Notamacropus eugenii: one gene and its partner. The protein of the gene in region 2 binds, or shares a complex with, the protein of the main gene of each other region. Links are inferred from orthologs where the notes say so. Each region holds a gene or a part of one and is shown on either strand. Other genes may lie near its edges.

Evidence for each region.
Region 1: the proteins of SLC3A1 (region 2) and SLC7A13 are in contact, whole or in part, in a cryo-EM structure (PDB 8WK6), measured with the Homo sapiens proteins. The link is inferred for Notamacropus eugenii from reciprocal best matches to the Homo sapiens genes SLC3A1 and SLC7A13. Residues at the interface, in NP_000332.2 of Homo sapiens: Pro64, Tyr65, Ala66, Gly67, Met68, Pro69, Lys70, Leu73, Phe76, Ser77, Arg81, Tyr82, Pro85, Arg86, Leu89, Phe90, Thr93, Ser96, Val97, Leu100, Ile101, Thr104, Ile107, Ile108, Ser111, Cys114, Leu115, Glu194, Asn195, Asp202; in NP_620172.2 of Homo sapiens: Ile120, Phe123, Phe124, Pro125, Ser126, Cys127, Leu132, Pro133, Cys136, Leu137, Leu139, Ala140, Met141, Trp143, Ile147, Arg151, Lys187, Thr265, Arg267, Asp281, Arg282, Glu450, Cys454, Tyr455, Gln457, Leu458, Leu459, Phe460, Asn461, Ile462.

The regions. Positions count from the first base shown.
Region 1 is NC_092875.1:317,271,481-317,281,454, reverse strand, and holds the start of SLC7A13 (solute carrier family 7 member 13), read right to left. Parts: upstream 3,954-9,974; 5' UTR 3,860-3,953; coding exon 3,178-3,859; intron 1-3,177. UniProt on the Homo sapiens protein: Associates with SLC3A1/rBAT to form a functional heterodimeric complex that transports anionic and neutral amino acids across the apical plasma membrane of renal epithelium.
Region 2 is NC_092872.1:665,479,688-665,490,005, forward strand, and holds the start of SLC3A1 (amino acid transporter heavy chain SLC3A1), read right to left. Parts: upstream 4,498-10,318; 5' UTR 4,414-4,497; coding exon 3,996-4,413; intron 1-3,995. UniProt on the Homo sapiens protein: Acts as a chaperone that facilitates biogenesis and trafficking of functional transporter heteromers to the plasma membrane.

The DNA of each region.
Region 1 (9,974 bases), on a different chromosome or scaffold from region 2:
GATTAAAAATGTCTAATGATGGCTGCCATCAACTTGACAGGTAGTAGGAGAAATAGATATATTAGGAATAATAAACTTACCTACCTGTAAAATTGTTACTGTATTATTACAGGATTTAATAATAACAGATGACATCAAGAGAGTGTCTTAAACTTTACAAAACACTTTGCATGTTATTATTACTTTTCATTTCATTCTTACAATAACCTGTGAGGTTGGTGCTATTATTGTCCCCATTTTACAGATGAAGAAATTGAGGCAGATAGTGATGAATGGACTTGTCCATAGTCACATCACTAATAAATATCTGAGGCAGGATTTGAACTCATGTCTTCCCGACTCCAAGTCCACTGCAATAGCCATCTAGCTGCTTCTCATTTCAAGTTAGAACTGGAAGGTGCAATAGTTCAAACTCCTAATTTTATATATGAGGAAACGTAGGTCCAGATAGGTAAACAGATTGCTCAAGGTCATGTATAGCATCAGTTAGCCAAACTGGGATTCTAACCAAAGTCCTCCAAGTTGTATGAACATTTAGCTGTATCTATAAGTAATACATCAAATCAAAATGCAATGATGAAAAATCAGGGCATTTTGTCATTCTTTCTGCCCCCATCAGCTTTTCCTGCCCATCTTCCCTCTAGACACACTTTTCATTACTTTGGTGCTAGGGATCTCTTCACTTTAGGATTTGATTTGTGAGTGTCTTATGAGTGTGATGAAGCCATATAATGAGTGTGTGTTCTAGTATCTTTTCCTAATGACTATTATAAATTTGTAAATGTCATATACTGATAAAAAATAAAATGAAGTGAGAAAAAATGCTTTGTCTTGGAAGAAAGAAATAATAATTTAAATGAATTATGTAATGATTATAGCTGATTTTTTTTGCTTTGTCACTTTTAATTTGGATTTTTACTCATATTTGGCAGTTTAAAATAATACTAACACATTGCAGTTACTTTATTCTTCATTTCATATGTCTTTATTCAAATTTTGGCTGGTCTTACAGCATGTTTTTATATGTTGTGTTGTATATGTTATTTAATAAAATTAAATGTCTTTAGTTGGGCAATAATTCTAGAAAATACACCATCCCTCCCTTTTATACAGAGAGCATAATTATTACTATGAATATTCTAACATAAAAACAGAGAGGAAAATGGATGGTTTACAGATGGCAAATAATCATCTTAATTCTTTGTCACTTTTATTTAATATCATTTACCCATTTCTATTATATTGTGGGTACTTTAGGTTGAGAAAAACCCAGGACCCTGTCTGTAGTTTTGAATCTCTTCTGCACCTTTAAATGGATGGAAAATATTCTTGAGCACTGCTCTTATCCTTATGTTCCAACCTCTCTCCCCACTTTAGCTCCCCATCTCCCTCTCCCCCAAAGGTGATGGATGACTGTTTGGTGAAGGTAGTTAGAAGAGCTACAGTAGTCTAACTTTTTCCATATTGCTGGCTCAGCCATGGATCATTACAGATTATATATAAAGCCACATTTATGTGATATTAGCATTAAAATCATATTGGGGCAAAAGATGTATTTATTTTAAAATCTTTTCTTGATGTCTTTTGTCTTTACATGTCTTTATAGTTGTTGGGGGATATAGTAAGTCTGTGCTCTCTAGATTAAAACCTTCCTTATTACAACAATAAAAAAAACAATTAAGCCAAAACAAAATATACTGTGCGAGTGACATCTGCCAGTGTCTTCTGTTCTAGTAGTCACCCACTTCTCTGCCATGCTAAATGAGTTATATTTTATTATCTGTTCTTTAGGTCCTTCAGTGACTTTTCATCATTTGGCTTCCTTTAGTGGTCTTTTAATGTATCTTGTTATAGTCATTATTCTGGTTCTACTTGCTTCACTTTGTATCAGTTTATTGAAATCTTCCTATTCCTCAGAGTTGTTGTATTTGATATTTCTTAGTACACAACAAAATTTTATTATATTCATGTAACACAATTTTTCTAGCCATTCTTCAGATGTTGGGCAGCTATATCATTTTCATGTTTTGTTATTTATTTGTTTGTTTGTTTCCTGTCACAGAGTGTTACTTTGAATATTTTGGTATATATTGGACCTTTAATTATGCCATTGACTTGCTTGGGATATATGCCTGGGATATAGAACTGAACATAAACCTAGAAGGGCCCATAAAGATCATTTAAGTCAACTTCTCATGTTTTACAGATGAAGAAACTGAGTCCCTCACATTCCTGAGAGGTAGGGACTATAGGTATTATTATCCTCATTTTATAGAGAAGGAAACTGAGATTAAGTGGTTTGTCCCTATTCTTACCTAGTAAATATCAGAGGCTATTTTAAGACCTATATTTCTGCAGACTTCAAGTCTAGCATTCTCCATTATGCCACACTGCCTTTCATATTACCCAACTGTTTACCAGTGAATATACCTGCTGAGCAGATGTGTATGTGGTTAACAAATTATTTTTATTATCAGCCAGCATTTATATAGCATCTACTATATGCCAAGCACAGATATGCTTTGCAAATAATGTCTCATTGATCCTCACAATAAGCCTGGAATGTAGATGCTATAATTAACCCAATTTTGTACTTAAGAAAACTGAAGGAAATGGAGGTTAAATGACTTGCCTGAGGTCACCCAGCTGATAAACATCTAAGACTATGTTTAAATTCTGGTCTTTCTTATTTCTAATTTCTGGTCTTTTCTGGTCTAGAATTCTACCCATGAATACCCCGAGTATTAGTATATGTTAGGAAAATCTTTAATTTCCCAAACCTAGACCAAAAAGCAAGGAATCAAGCAACAAATATTTTTGCACATTAGCTATGATGTTTCACATGTATACTCTATAAAGCAGAACCCACACCAGGGGTCAGTGAACTTATTTTTTGATTACTGTATTTCAATATAATCAGTTTCCTTTGTAATCTTAGGTCATTTATTTTTTGCCTTTAAAATATGATCCTGAGAAGAGATCCATAGGTATCACCAGATTGCCAAAGGGGTCTATGGTACAAAAAGGTTAAGAATTCCCTCTCTAAAGTCAGATAAAAATATACAAACCTATAAGCAAGACAAAATTTATTTTTCAGCATAAAACTCTTATTTTAGTAGCTTGACTATGTATTCATCTGATAAATGTTTCCCTTAAGATTTAAAAAAAAAAAATTACCTGCAATGGAAACCATTGATTGCCAGCCTGAATATGCATAAAATCCTTGGAAAAAGGCTTCTGGAATCTGAGAGATATTTGGAAGGTCAGAACTGAAAGCATTCCCCAACCTGATCAAATTCTCCTTTCTCATTACCAACAATATAACTCCGTTTAAGGCAATAAGGCAAAGAACTGTTGTCTTCATCATTGTACTGACTGTCTGAAACCAAGTTACTTTTTTCACACCTTGAACACCGAGGATTCCCAGAGACCACAAAATGGCCAAAGCTAAGCATTTTTTGGGCAATGTTGGTGCAGAACACCCAGGATAGAAAGGCTGAATAACATACTCAGCCAACAATAAGGTTCGACTAGCAAGTCCTGCTGGTGTTGTAAAGAAACTGGTCCAGAAGCAGAAGAAAACAAAAGGAGATCCCAGGGATCTTTTGAGGAAATAGTATTGAGCTCCACTTCGAGGGAAAGTTGTGCCCACCTCAGCATAAGTAAGGGCTGTTATCATGGACACCGCTGCACAAGCAGCCCAGATACTCAGTGTGACACCCACATGGAGGGAGGAATATTTCAGCACTCCTTTGGGAGCTATGAAAATTCCTGCACCTATTACACTACTGAGTAAGAAAGTCACCCCGTGGAAATATCCAATTGCCCTTTGGAGCTGTGTCTTGTTCATTTTGTCCATTTCTTCAGTCCAGAGAAGGCCTTTTAAAGTTTCTTCTGCAATCACTCTTTTGTATACTCCTTGCTATGCTTTTGAAATCTGTCCCAAAAAACTCCCAGTAGTGAAACCATTAGATCCTTTTGATTTAGTCACTGTATACTACATGAGTTTCATTTTATTATACTACTTCATGACTTAAAAATGATTAACATGAAACAGTTTACCTATGAAATTTGTGATATGTTTAAATTCCTAGTTAACATGTTTTATCCATTAGACATTAAAACTTGCATTACTTGTCAAGGAATTTGTAGATTTTCCATTGGTGGTGCAGCATTTTTAATGTTTAACACTAAACAAGAATTAAGAAAGAACTAAATGCATGGTGGTTCAGCGTTTTTAGATATTCCATGGTTAGCTATTGGATTAGGATAGTTCCTTGGCCAGCTATGATTTGCACCTCAAACATTTACTAGCTTTGTGACCCTGGGCAAGTCATTTAACCCTGTTTGCCTCAGTTTCCTCATCTGTAAAATAAGTTGGAGAAGGAAATGGCAAATCATTCTAGTATCTTTGCTAAGAAAACCCCAAAATCACAAAGAGTCAGACACAACTGAAACAACTGAACAACAACAATAGAGTTAGAGGAGTTTGGTTCAAATCCTACCTCTCATAGTTATTACCTTGGGCAAATTACTTAACCTTCTCAGGCTTCTTTCCTCTTTTGCTAAATGTACAATGGACCAGATGGCCTCAGAAATCCCTTACAGTTCTAGATCTTTGAGGCAATGAGTCCCTCTCCTCTCACTCTCTGAGAGAGCATATGTAAATTTAAATTTATTCTGTTCTTTAAAGTTTATTTAATAATAGTGCTGCTTACACACAGATTTGATTTACCATAACTTCTCTGAGTTGTGTACTTAATTTTTTGTGAATAAGGAGTTATCAGACATGAGTCTGACATGAGAGGCAGCCCAGATAGTGGTGCAGAAATGAGACAGAAGGTCCTCAATGCAGCAGATGGTTAACTGTTGAGGATTCAGTTGACTGGTGATCAAATAGGAGAAAACTGTTTTCTTTTGCTACTCCCCCCTTGATTTTCCTCAGCATAATTTGTGACCTAGAGCTAGGGTCCTCTTAGTCCAAATCCCTGATCTGGAGGTACACAGATCACACCCAAAGAATGAGGAAGGCATGCAGAAGGAGGTCTTTAGAGATGGCTGGAGTGGAAGGCTTGGGAGAACTTAACCATTTCCCTTCCACTTTTTATATGCTTAATCTGCCAGTGACTATTCTGGAATAGTCTCTATATATACAATGACAAAAACAAAGATTCCCTGCTTCAAGGCACTTACAGTTTAGTTTGGGGGATAATAGGTATATATAGGACATGGATATTTTCAAAATAGGTAAGAAATGGATTCAAGATAACTTAGGGGGAGAGGTCCTAAAAGCTGGTGGATGGGGATCAGAAAAGGCCTCATGTGGAAGGTATGGCTTGAGTGAGTCTTGAAGAAAACTAGGGACTGAGAAATGAAATTGAGGAGGAAGTGCATTCCAAGTACCAAGGATAGCCAATGCAAAGGCATCAGGATGGAATGCCATGTGTGAGAAACAGCAAGAATGTCAATTTGGCTGGATTATAGAAGGAGCAACTGGAGTAAAGCCAGAAAAGTTAGAGACAGATTGTTTCAGGCATTAAACGTCAAACAGAGTTTATATTTGAGCCTAGAGATAATAGAGAGTCTTTAGTGACATACTTCTATTTCCACTTCAGGAAAATCAATTTGGCAGTTGAGTGGAAGATGGATTGGAGTGGGAAGAAACTTGAGCAGGATGACCAAAAAAGAGACAATTGTGTTAGTTCAGGCAAGAAGGCCAGAATCAATTAAGGTGGTGGCAGTGTGAGTGTAGATAAAGCAATAAATGCAAGAGGTGCTGTAGAGATTAAAATAAGATTTCAGTAAACCACTCAGTCATAGTGTATGGAGTACAGGTCCTGAAAATGGGGTTTTCAGGGGTTTTTATCATATGGAAAAAGTTCAGTTATGAGGTAGGGGGTTCTAGAGCTTTATATTTTATATTTTTTATATTTGGAATAATAATCCATATCATCCCCTAGCTAACATTTGAACTCAATCAGGATGGGTTTAAACAGATGAATGTTGCCAGTATTGGAAACTAGCAACAAGATGTCTGTAAACTAAATGTGCTCTGTTGACCAGTGGGGATACTGTAGTCTATTAAAAAGGCTATAGTGCCATAGAGGAACTGAGGTAAGTATGGATCAATATGGATCAAGAAGGGTACCCTGTGACAAATTCACTTAATGAATAATTATGCTCACTTGCTGGATAATAACACAGTAACATACTATCATCCTACAGGTTTAGGAAAGGCAACACATAGACCAGTTTGTAATTCTCCGTTACTGCAATGATTCACATATCATGTTCAGGTTTCTCATTATCGTGAAATAATTCTTTTTGTTACTTGTAAACCAACTCTGCAAATTCTTCTATCTGTTCCTCCAAGAATCTACAAACCAACATTTCATTTAGTTTCAACTTCCTTTCTGAAATTTCAGTTATAATTAGAATGTCAATATTGATATAATTCATTTTGTCAAGATATTGTTTTCCAGAGCTAAGGCCCAACAAACAAGCCGTTCCCTGAACTTAACATAACAACAATCCTTTGCTCTCACCCTTTAGATTATCTCAGCCACAGCAAAATCCCAGAATTGGGATTTATTATTTTCATATTAATCTCTATTTGCCAGAGGATTCTGTCCTGAGAGCTGGTGTTACAGCTCACATGCTGTAGCAGAAAGTAATCATTCAAATCTTCTGACACTCTAAAGAATCCCTGAGCCTGTAACTGCTAAGTGAACTGAACCAGGTACTGCATTCCTCTTCCTGCCACACTAACTCTGATTCTGTACCCTGCTGAACAACTACAAGGTTCAATGACCCTTAAGACTTGAGACAATCACAAGGCTAAATGATTCTAATAACTTACAGACTGTTCCCATGGAACACCTCTATTGTCATCTGTGGGAACTGTTTACTCAAGACCTATGAATGGCTGTATTGGATCCTGCCTTTTTGTGATTTTCATGCTTAAAAACTCCACCCCTGCCACAAACCACAAACCCTCCTCAGGAGGACTTCTACTTGTAAACGTTTTCCTCACTTTGAAATTAAACTTCTGTTTGATTTCTGACTCTTGTTTTTCTGCCTGCTTTGTTCAGCTCTGGCCACCCACAGGTTAGAGACTAGTTCTGAGCTGGTTGACAAATTCCTCCAATACTATGTCAATTCACCAATGATTGCACAAGAATCATACACTTAAAATACCATCATAGGATCATGTATTTGAAAGGACCATTAATGGAAGGACCATTAGAGGTCTCTCATTTTACAGGCTAGGGAAAAGATGTTCAGAGAGGTAAAGAAATTTGCCCAAGGTCACAGGGCATTAAGGGGCAGAACCAGGATATAAATCCAAGTTTTCTAATTCTATATTAGGGCATCTTTTCACTCTCTCAACTAAGAATCACATGGTTCAAAAAACCATGTGATTTTTTTTTAAGCACTTCTGAACCCTTTTTTGCCATACTGCCATTGCCACTGCACAAGACTTAAAGCCACTTTGTGTTTGTCTTTGTTTCATTGGTTGCTATGGCCAAGTCTTTAGTCACTAAGTGGGTTTACTGTTGATGGGCCATTCGGCACTTGACTAGGATGCCTTTAAAAAGCAGTACTCATCCATCATTGTACTCTAAGCTTTTTGGCATGACAGAAACTTCCAGAATTTGCACTGGGTTAGCCTTTGATAACCCAATATCATCTCCATGCCACGCTAAAGAATTGTAGTAGGACTTTTGTGGACCATCATATCAAAAATAAGAAGACAGGGAATTATTAGAAGAAACGTAAGGAAAGGATCTTATCTGGTGGCAACTTTCTTAGGCTCATTAAGACTTCAGCAGAGAGAAGGGATTTAACTGACCTTGTAATCCTATATTATGTTGACTCCTAGAAGGATAAAACAACTTCTCAGAAATATGCAAATGGAAAAAGTACTTTAGGAGAGACTATATTTCTCTCAGATCAGAGGACAGAAATGATACAAAGCCTAGAGTTCTTATGATGTCTCCCATATGTTACAACATCTTCTGTTCTTAACATTTTGTTCTTAAAAATTAAAATAGGAAGGGGGCGGAGCCAAGATGGCGAAATAGAAAGACGCACATACACATAGCTCCGAACCCACAAACCACAGAACGGCTAGAGGGGACCAAGCCAGGGCGAATTCTGCACCCAGAGACCACGGACTATTGGAGCGAGGGAGATTTCTGCTCCAGAGAGACCTGCAAACCTCTCGCGGGGGGTCCTTCGCGCCGTGGACTGGGTGCCGGGACGGGGAGCAGAGTACAGCCCTGCCGCGGCCACGCCACCGAGAGGAAAAGATCCGAGAGGGCTACGGGGATGGGATATCCAGTGGCCACGCGGGTCCCCCCACCCACAGAGGGACCTGCAAACCTCTCACAAAAGGTCCATCGTGCTGCAGACGCGGAGCCCAGCCCGGACCTGCGGCGGTGGCGGCTGCGGCCGCGGCTCCGAGAGGCACAGATCTGAGAAGGCTCCAGAGACGGAATCTTCAGCAGCGGCACAAGCCCCCCCATCAACAGGAGACTGACGGGGGTAGGTGAGAGAGTCTCTTTGGCGGGTTGAGAGGGGAGTGGGGTGCCCCCATGGCTCGGGCCCCCCCAGGAGATAGAAGCTGAGAGGCGGCTGCAGACAGGGGCTCCCCAAATGGGCGGGAGCCTGGATCCATTGTGGAAGGTCTGTGCATAAACCCCCTGAGGGAACTGAGCCAGAGAGGCGGCCCTGCCCATGACCTCAGCACCTGAACTTAATTTAACACTGAATAGCAGCCCTGCCCCCGCCAAAAACCCTAAGGTGGGAAGCAGCATTTGAATCTCAGTCCCCAAACGCTGGCTGGGAGGACCAGGAGGCGAGGTGGGTGTGAGGAGAACATTCAGAGGTCAGGCCACTGGATGGAGAGAATGCCAAGAAAAGGGAAAAGAAATAAAACTATTGAAGGGTACTTTAGCGGAGAAAAGACACTTCCTCCCTTCCTTTCTGATGGGGAGGAACAATGCTTGCCATCAGGCAAAGACACAGAAATCGAGGATTCTGTGTCCCAGCCCACCCAATGGGCTCGGGCCATGGAAGAGCTCAAGAGGAATTTTGAAAATCAAGTTAGAGAGGTGGAGGAAAGACTGGGAAGGGAAATGAGAGGGATGAGGGAGAAGCATGAAAAGCAGATCAGCTCCCTGCTAAAGGAGAACCAAAAAAATCTTGAAGAAATTGGCACCTTGAGAACTAGCCTAACTCAGCTGGCAAGGGAGGTGCAAGGGGCCAATGAGGAGAAGAATGCTTTCAAAAGCAGAATTAACCAAATGGAAAAGGAGATTCAAAAGCTCACTGAGGAAAATAGATCTTTCAAAACTGGAATGGTACGATGGACGCTAAGGACTTTATCAGAAAGACAGATATCTCAGAACATACCGCGCAGATTCGAAAAATGGAAGATAACGTGAAATATCTTATTGGAAAAACAACTGACCTGGAAAATAGAATCAGGAGAGACAATGTAAAAATTCTGGGACTACCTGAAAACCATGATCAAAAGAAGAGCCTAGACATCATCTTCCATGAAATTATCAAGGAAAACTGCCCTGAGATTCTAGAACCAGAAGGCAAAATAAATATTCAAGGAATCCGCAGAACACCGCATGAAAGAGATCCAAAAAGAGAAACTCCTATGAGCATTGTGGCCAAATTCCAGAATTCCCAGGTGAAAGAGAAAATATTGCAAGCAGCTAGAAAGAAACAATTCAAGTATTGTGGAAATACAATCAGGATAGCACAAGATCTGGCACCCTCTACATTGAGGGATAGAAGGGAATGGAATAGGATATTCCAGAAGTCAAAGGAACTAGGACTGAAGCCAAGAATCACCTACCCAGCAAAACTGAGTATAATACTTCAGGAGAAAAAATGGTCTTTCAATGAAATAGAAGACTTTCAAATTTTCCTGATGAAAAGACCAGAGCTGGAAAGAA
Region 2 (10,318 bases):
GGAGCAATAGAAGTGACATTACGTGTTCTGGAATATCAGTTGAGCAGTTGTTGGAGAAGAGGCGACCTTGCACAGCCCTCCTTCACTCCAAACAAAGTCAAATGCAAGTTATGTCATCCTTTCTCTGTTGGCATACGGTCTTCTTCAGCAACGAAGGAAGGGTTAGAGATGCCAATGATCATAATGATAATAGTGTATGTATATGTACATATATATATTTAGTCCTTTATGTTTTATATAATGTAAGTTCCAGGCAAACCCTTTCTGGAACAACATATTTTTATTATTATCTGAAGAGACTCCAAATCATCCTTAACTCAATGGTTGCTCCTTTCTTCTGGGACTCTCACTGCTGACCTTACAACCTTGTTATAAGAGGAAAGTGTAAAGGTCAAGATATCATAGAAATGCAAGATGTTCACATCCAATTGCTTGCCAAGTTTTGTTCATTCTCCCTCCACCTCTGACCCCTTCTCTTTAATCACAAGGACATCACCCTAAGGTCAAAACCTCATGAGCTCTTGCCTGGACAACCAGAAGAAGCCCCTGGTTGAGTCTCTAACTCATTCACATCTTCTTTGTACCCCCAAATCCTCCTCCACATAATTCCCAAAGTGAAGTTCCTAAAGGTCTGACCATGTCATTGTCCTGCTCAAGAAGTTTCAGTGACTCCCCATTGCCTCTAGAATAAAACATGAACTTTGGTTTTTCATAATCTGGCTCCTCTCTGCCTTTCCAGAAATACTACATGTTCCTCCCCTTCACACATGGGCCACATGGGCCCATTGGCTATTCCTCCCCCATGACACTCCTTCTCTTGTCTCTGTGCTTTTGTATAGACCAGAATGCACTCCTTGCTCCCCTTGGGTCCCTGGTTACCTTCAGTTCTCATCTCAAGCTCTACCACCTACAGGAGACCTCTCCTGATCTCCCAAGAAATCCATCCCTCCCCTCATCCCCATCCTCCCCCCTGCAGTCCCTTCTATTTATTTTGTATATGACTGATATCTTTTTATAGATATATGTGCCGGCTTTACCTATAGAATGTAAACTCCCAGGTGGCCAGGAACTGTTTGGTTCCTTTTTGCCTCTGTATCCCCTGTGCCTAGTGCAAAGCAGGCACTTTAATAAATGCTTCTTGACTGAAAGCACTCCACCTTACAAGCTGGCTGGCCAACTTGCAGGTCCCTGACCTCAGCATTTCATGCTTCGCGTGCCATCTCCCCTGTACTTGGAATGGACTCCCTCCTCCCCTCTGACCCTTTGAATGTTTAGCTTCCTCCAAGTCTCAGTTCACAGATCCTTTTGTTCTAGAATAGAAACTTCTCCTGATCCCTTTAGGGCTTAGTACTCTTCTTCCTCCTAATTCTCCTGAGGAGAGTTAGAGGAGGAGCAGATAGAACTCTGGGCCTAGAGGGAGGAAAATCTACTTTTAAGGCTAGCCTCAGACACTAACTAAATGTATGACCTTGGACAAGTCACTTAAACTTCTATCTGCCTCAGTTGCCCCATCTGTAAAATGGGGGTAATAATAGTGGCTGTCTCCCAGGATTGTCGTGAGGATAAAATGAGGTAATATTTGTGAAGTGCTATATATATATGCTGGCTCTTAACTATAGATCTGATTCTTGAAGGCTCTGAACTGCCATTAATTAGATTCCTTCTGTCCTCTGTGAACCTCTAATATATATAATACATTGTCTTTATGCTGGGCTCATAGGACTAAGAGCTTTGAAAATGTTTACTAGAATGAATTAGATTCATTAATTCTTTAGTGTTAAATAAGGATAATAATCTTTGAACCTTCCATACCTTACAAAAATATCAGAAATAAGGGGCAAATGGGTGAGAAACCCATCATGGTCAACAAATTTTAATTAAAAAGCTGTTAATATATTTGATATGTCATAACCACTATTTACTGGATATCAAGCAGACCTCAAAGTAAGGAAGACCTGGGGTCTTCTGATCTCAGGCTGTATGACCCTGCACAAGGGACTTAACTTCTCAGGGCCCCAGGCAACTCCCTAAGGGGAAGAACAGGGGAAGAAGAGGGAATAAGCATTGATTAAGTGCCTACTGTATGCCAGGTTTGTTTCTCATAGCAACCTTGTGAGGTAGATTCTATTATTATCCCTATTTTACAATTGAGAAAACTGAGGTCAACCAAGGTAAAGTGACTTGTGGAGGGTAACAGAGCTAGCAAGTATCTGAAATCTAATTTGGACTCAGGTCTTCTTGACTCTATGCCTACTGCTCTGTCCTCTATGCCACCAGCTTCCTCAGGCTACGTACATTACAGATGTGTTATATATGTGTCTGTTGAAGGAGTTTTCACACTTGGAGTTCTAATCACTAATGAAATCATATTTCTGGAGCAAAAGCATTGCCTTCTTCCGACCCCTATACCCAATCATAATTCTGTTTTTAAAAGAAATCAAAGAATATTTCTATTGGTTCATTCGCTGTCCCCTAAACCAAAGAATCTTTCACATAAGTGTTTATTTTTCCCATTGCTGTATCTACAGCCATTCAATAAATTCCTTGGGACGAGAAGCTTCATTCTCCTCTTCGGTACTCTGATTCCAAAACATGCTACTTGGGGTATAATGCTACCGTGGAGAATTTCTGTGCCTGGCTTCCACAAAAAGCAGCAGCACTTTATTTTAGGGGCTACCACTGAATCAGCCTATGGATTCACTGCTTTTACGAAATTAACCGATATGCTTGATATGTTGATGTTCAGAAATCCCTTCTTAATGTGTTCCACCCAGAGGCTTTTCTTAAGATGTCACTGTCTCTTGGTTATTGGCTTTGGAGCTCTACTTTGTATGGCCTTTGGACAAACCAGCAAAGGGCCTGACATTCATTCTGCCCCAGCACATGTAATTATGTAAGGATAAAGTAAAAGTTTTGTTTTTAATATTTAAAAATCATACTTTCACCAGTTTTTCCACATAAAACTAGTGCTTTTTTATTTACCACCCTAGAAAGAAAAATTTCCCCCTCCCCATTTCTTTCTTGTTCCCTAGAGATAAGGTAATTCACTGTTTTGGTAATGAATTCCTAAAGGTGTGGTTAAGGGAGGATCCTCCAGATAACCCCACTGGCAATTGTTTCAGTAGCCTTTGGCCTAGGGTGGGACTTCAAGTAAGGTAAGGTGCCTTGAGGACTTAGGATATTAGAGATCTAAGGTTGAAAAGGACCTTTGAAGCCATCCAACTGAACCGTTTTCTTACTGTATAGATGAGGAAATTGAGGCACAGAGGTATAAGTCAACTTGCCCAAGGTCATAGATTATAAAAAGAGGAGCCAGGATCTCTAGAGTCCAAATCCAGGGCTCTGTACTAGCCAGGCTGCAATTAGACCCTTTATTTTCCAACTCTCTACTTCACATGATATCAATGATATCAAGATAACAAGCTAAACATTAACATGTAATAAATCACTTTCTGATGATATCAACCTTTTTCAGATCATAGCAGAGAAGCTGGGAAGTTTCGGCTTCCTTTTACTGATGGGTGTTCTACTGAAGGAAATCTGTGTTTGCGGGAAGGGGTGGATAGACAGGGTTAGTAAGCCAGGAGCAGCCATATCATATATTTGAATAACCTTGTTAAAAGATTATTGTATGACATTTAGCTGTAAACTGAAGAGATATAAGAAGTTATGAGATGCCAAATTAAACCAATAAAAATGAACAGTTACATCTACCAGTACTCATGACACACTTCTAAGCATTCTTTTATTTGCCCTTGACTCAAAGGCTTTCAAAGGGTCTCCATCAAGTAATCTTTTTCAATAACCAAATGAACTCCTGTATTGTTAAATAGACAAGCTTGCTTAGTGAGAGTTTTTCCATTATAAGGAATAAGAATCTTGACCATCCCTTGCAGTCATAGGCATAATAAACTTCCAGAGATATAGAGAGAACAAAAACCAAATTACACCTTTACTTTCTTCATTAGCTCTAACAAACCTTTATGGGCACTAACCTTTCAGATCACCATTGCCATCTTGGTTGCTGTCCTTAAAAGAACGTGGGTAGATCTGGTATATAGGACTGACTTGCCACCACTCAAGACACTTTGGAGACAGGGCAATAATTGCAATAGTTGAACTGATGAGCACAAGCACAGCTACAATGATGAGCCAGAAGAGGATCTCTCGGGTGATTTTGTACCGTGCTTGGCTTGAGTACAGAAGCAGGACTTCTTTGGGCATCCCTGCATAGGGCTTGATAGGGTCGAGCTCTTGGGGATGGATGTCACTACTACTTGTCTTCAGTGAATCGACCTGGTTGCTTCCGTCAATTTCTCGTTCGGTGACTGCCTCATTTTGCACAAATCCATTGTTGGTGTGACCCTTCATACTCATTCTCATGGAATCTTTCTTACTTCCATCCTTGGCCATCTTTTTCCTGCTTCTCCTTTGAGGGAGCTTTCTTGCAGTAAACAAAGGCAAAAAAATGTCTTGCTTAACTGAAATGCTTGGTGGTGTATTTAGCTTGGTATGGTTTATAAATAAACCTGGCTGGTTAAAATTCAACAAGAGAAAAAGAAAGGGTAAAGGTAAAAGGGATTTCAAAAAAAGAAAGAAAAGACTCTACTTTCCGAGTAAGTCTAAGGTGGGGGTGGGAGGAATTAAAGCATTAAGCTTTAAGGAAAAGAAGAGAGATAAATGCACCAAATATGCATTATTTGGCCCTTTTTGTTCCATATTGTATATTTGTGTCGTGTGTATATGTACAGGTGTGTACATGTATACAACCACTCCCTCCTATGTCTGTGTAATATGAATTGCTTCCTACTTTCCATGAGAGCAGCATTTTGTAAATAGCTTTTAATGTTTACACTAAAGAGCTGTTTAAACATTGGTAAGTAGAAAATGCTGATGTTTCTGCCTTTATGTAAACTAAAAAGGATGTATTTTATATCTAAATTAAATATCTAAAATGGCATGCTTTTTTGTAAATGATGACTTATTGTGTATGTCATTTATTTAAAAGCATTAACAAAGACATGACTTACTTACCTAGATAACATTAAGCTTTTTTTTCTTAAAGGAAAGAATAAAATTTGGAGTAGAAACAATAAAATAAGCAATTAACCAGTTTTTATCTCCTTTGTCCCCTGGCTTTAAATACATAATTACGTTGACTGGAGAAAATTGTTGCACCAACCCCACCTGAGGCAGCTTTGGCAGATCCCAGAGGGACAGTGAGTGGCTCTCCTTGCCTGGGGATGTGGGGGGAAAGGAGAATGGAGAGAGAAAATGTGGATCCTAAGTGGCTGAGAGATTGCAAAGCCCTTCATACTATTTAGATGCATAAGTGAAGGAAAAACTTCTTAATCTTTGGAGGGACTACTGAGAGAAGTGGAGAGTTCCAGAGAGAACAGGGGAGAAGAGAGGGCAAACTTGACTAGCAGACAGGAAATCTCCCTTTAGCCACAGACAGGCAGACGGGCGGCCGGGGAAGCCAGCCCCCACCAAGTCCCTTGATCTGTAATTTGTACAACACTAGAGATTACAAAGAGTGGACTTCCTGGGTGAGGTTGTTTTTGCCTTGGATGAGCTGAGATTCTATCTTAATTCCAAATCAAAGAGCTAGTTTACTCTGATGTAACCTAATATCTATAAACTCCCCCATTTCTGTTCATAATTTACTTTGCTAAAAAGCTATTCTGTTGTCTTTTGTGTAACCACCAGTTGGTGACAGGGACATATGCTAATGAGAGGAAGATAAGGGTTACCCTCTTCTTAAGAACACAGAAAGTCCCTCAAAGGAGGACACACCCCTAGACATAGCTGATGTGTGCTAGATAAGCTTTGCTGTTTGTGTAGGGTGTATGGGGTGATCAGGGAGGATTAGAGGGAGGGCCTGCTGCCCAGCCTTTCTCAGGACTACTCATCAACCTTTGCTGTTCATCTTCACCCTACTCTCACCTTTGGCTCCAAGAATCTGTAGCAAGTGCAGTGGCCATACCCTACTAAAACTGTCTCAAGAGATGGGCTAAACCAGGTGGAGGGTAAACAAAAAGCCTCAAACTTATTCCTAAGTTAAACACAGAGAAGTATAATTCTAGCCCAATACCCCACCCCCACCCCCTTAGAAATAGGAACAGGAAGAAAAGATTGCTCAGTGGTCCCATGTGCTGCTCCTACCCTCTAGGCTACCTTTAAAGGACAAGTATAGGCCCTCCTACTATCCACAAAGAGATATGGAAGGGGCTTTCTAGATCCCTGATATGATATCTATCCATATCACACTCAGGTTCACCATTTTATGTTAGACATATCAACATGTGTATTAAAAGTGGGTTGGGAGAGTAAGTCCAGCACCTGACTATACGCGCAGGTGCGCGCGCGCACACACACACACACACACACACACACACACACACACACACACACACACACACACACACATAAACTCAACATTACTGCCAGTACAATAACACCCAGTGATCTCTAAACAGGAGTCCTTCCCCAGGAGGGTTCTAGCAGCAAAGGGGTACTGAAAGTATCTACCCAGCCCCCACAGAAGAAGGGGGCAGTCCCTTAGAGCCCTCTCATGTGGAGAAGATTTTATATCCCATTACCCCACCATGAGGCTCTCAGGAAGGGGCAGGTTCTAATGAATGGATGATGATGGATGATGAGGTTTTAGATGGCTGTTGATGATGATGTTCAGTCCTGTCCTACTCTCCATGATTCCATTTTGAGGTTTCTTGGCAAAGATACTGGAGTGGTTTGCCATTTCTTTCTCCAGCTCATTTTACAGATAAGGAAAGTGAGGCAAATAGGGTTAAGTAACTTATCTAGGGTCACACAGCTAGGAAGTGTCTGAGATCAGATTTGAATCCATAAAGATGAATCTTCCTGATTCTAAGCCCAGTGTTCTATCCACTGTGCCCCCAGCTGCCTATGAGTCATTGGGACTGTACAGGTCTGATAGGAAGGCAGTTTACTCTCTTATCTCAAGTGCAAAATCACCTTTATGGGAAACCTTGATCTTATTGGTCAGTCTTATCTGATTCTTTGTGACTCCATTTGGGGTTTTCTTGACAAAGATAATGGAGTGGTTTGCCATTTTCTTCTCCAGCTCAATTTACTGATGAGGAAATAGGTTTCAGTGACTTGGCCAGGGTCACACAGCTAGTGTCTGAAGCCAGATCTGAACTCAGGAAAATGAGTCTCCCTGACTCCAATTCCAGCACTCTATCTACTACACCTACATAACTGCCCCCAAACATTTATTAAGCACCTACTATGTATCAGACATTGTGCTAAGCCCTGGGGATATAAAAAGAGGCAAAAGACAATCCTTGGCCCTAGAGAGCTCACAATGTAATGGGGGAGAAGACGTGCAAACACCACACATGCACACACACACGCACACACACTTTTAGTTGAGACTTAAAGGAAACTAGGAAATGGAGTTGAGGAGGGAGAAGCCCAGGCATGGGGGACAGTCAGAGAAAATACCCAGAGCCAAGAGCTAGATTGTATTGTTGGTGAAACAGCCAGGAGGCCACCCAGTAGAAGAGTACATGACAGATGTGAATATTCTCTATGTCCTTAAGAACTCTTCCTCATTAAAGACAATTGTAGTAAGCTGTCTTTTAGACCCATCATCTGTGTTGTCCCTGGGCCTTCCAGCTTGGCAATTTAAGCGTCCTCCAAGGTCCGACAAAGGGATGTTTTGAATGTAAACTGAGTTCTAAGGAAATCCCCTCACTAAATTGAATTCAACTTAACTAAATGGAATAGAGAATGATTTTTTCCTCACTAGAAAAGGACAAACACGGTGTCCCAAAACTTTGAGTGAAGTTTTAAGCTCAGCTAATATTGTGGGGACACTTCCCTACTAAAGAATGCAGTGTGAACTCCCTTTGCTGGAGCTTGGATGCCTTTGTATCACTAATGGTCTTGGAGGTCTACTATAAAAAAGTCCTTTCCGGCTTTAAGGGAGTCATATTTGTGGGCAAATAAGGCAAGAATTATTAGGTTTTTAATGGATTTTTGGCCAGGGTAATGCAGCTGAACAAGCAGTCCTCAGTTGAGGGGTGGCTGAGGTACCCCAACAATGACAGAAAAATCCATCTCAGGAAGACTTTAGGATTGTCTAACAATACACCACAGGGAGTTTTGAGGTTTTTCATTTTGTCTTTTATCATTGTTGTTTCGTTGACATTAGAGAGACCACCCAGAATTGTAACACAGACTTCTTTGTAATTCTTTGGTGCAAGTCAACGGGGGAGGCATGTGAAAGTTCATGCTTAATTCTGTCAAGGAACCCAGAGACATTTCTGAAATTGGGGATGTGGAAAAGTGGGTCCACAGTGTATCCCGGCTAATCTGCTAAGACAGCTCTGTCAGTTTTTAAAAGATACACTGTCACTCTTGAGCTATGACCTATAATTCTCTCTGGAGAATTCTAGGAGGGGCCCTGGCAAAGCTCAAGGCCCAGGTACCTGGCCCCATCCTGGCAGAAATGGTTACTACTTACACATGACAGATAAGAGAACAGGTACTGGCCCAGAGGAATATCTCTGGGTTTGTGTCTTTTTTTTTTCCTTTATTTTCCTGAGCTGGACATTCTTATTCCTGAGGGCACCATTATGACTGGGATATCCTGAATGGTCAAGATGGAAAGTCAAGGAAAGATGTCAAGGGGTCCCTCAGCTGGAAGTCACTGGAAAAAGGAGAAATTTCTTGCCTGAGAAAGAAGGACCTTTAGGAAGGGGAACCTAAGCCCTGACATGATAGGTCAGAATCTTTTGGAGTTGCCTGATCCATTCCATGTGGCAGTTATTGACTTCATTACTTTTGGTAGACCAGCCAAGGGCAGGGACTCTAGGCCTGTAGCATGTAGCCTCCGTGTGGCCTACAGTATTCCTACCAACCACAGGAGGGCAGTGGCAGCCTAGGCCCTCAGCAAAGCAGAGTGATGCCTGCCATGATGGAGTGGAGTTATTCCCCAGTGATGGCAAGAGAACAGGGCTCAATACCTTGAGCATAAGGCATCAGGGCTCAGGGCCTGGTAGTGTCAGCTGTCCTATCCCAGGACAGAGGTGAAGTTCATCCTGGCAGAATGGGGTGGTGAGCAAAGATGTGTGCTCCAGGGATGATGGCCAAGAGACAGCAGGCAAAGATGTAGATTGCAGGGGTGGTTGCCTGGGGTTAGGGTAGGGGGCAGCAAGCAGAAACACAGGACAGCTGTATACAATGAAATAGCTCCCAGCAGCCTTTCCCACAAGGCAGAATGGGCACTGGGAATGAACATGAGCAAAGACAGATCCACTGTAGCCCATGGCATACTGTAATCTGGAATTGATTGGCCCCTCTACAATGTTGACCATACACCATCCAATGATCACTGTACAATTCATCTTCCGGTAGGAGGAGGCCCCAGAAGTGGCATTGTTGGGAGGTAGTTTGCTTTCTGGCAATGAGGAGAGTAGTAGTGAAAGGCGCTATTTATCCAGCCCCCAAAGAATAAAGGGGAAGTTCATGAGGAGTGTTTTATGTGAAGAAGATTTTGAATGCTACCCCCATCATAGGGCTTCAGGGACGGGGAGGCGCTGGATGATGGACCAGGGAACACCAAGTAGATGGGTGGTATAGGGCAATTTGCTGTCCTACGAGGAACCCTGGTAACTAGGCAAGAAGTGGTATCATCTTTGCCTGAAGCTCCTGCTTATGGTCTTTGCTCTACATTGAGAGCCCCACGAGGAACTACAAAATTATGGTTTTGTCCACAATGTGGACCTGATCATTTAGATCCAGGACTTGGTTTCCAAGGAGGCAGGGAGTGAAGCCAGGAATTTCAGGTCTTTGATCTCCCATATTGAATGATTCCTTGAAGGAACTGTTACATTTTGGGCTTTGGGCTTTTGTTTCTTTGCTTTCTGATATGTTTCTGTGTTTGCTTTTCTTTTCCATCTTTAGTGTTACCTATATGAAGCTTCTGGGTGACTGAATGACACAGTGAGTAGAGTACCTGGACTGGAATCAGGAACATTCATTTTCCTGAGTTTAAATCTGGCCTCAGAAACTTACCAGCTGTGTGACACTAGCCAAGTCACTTAACCTGTTTGCCTCAATTCCTCATCTATACAAAATGAGCTGGAGAAGGAAATGAAATGAAAAAAACCACTTCCACATCTTTGCCAAGAAAACCCCAAATGGGATCACAAAGAATCAAACACTACTGAAAAATGATTAAACAATAAAATATCAAGCTTCATGAATACTGGAAGAAAGGTTGATCAGTAACATGCCTAAAGTAATTTTAGTAGTAGAAGACTTCAAG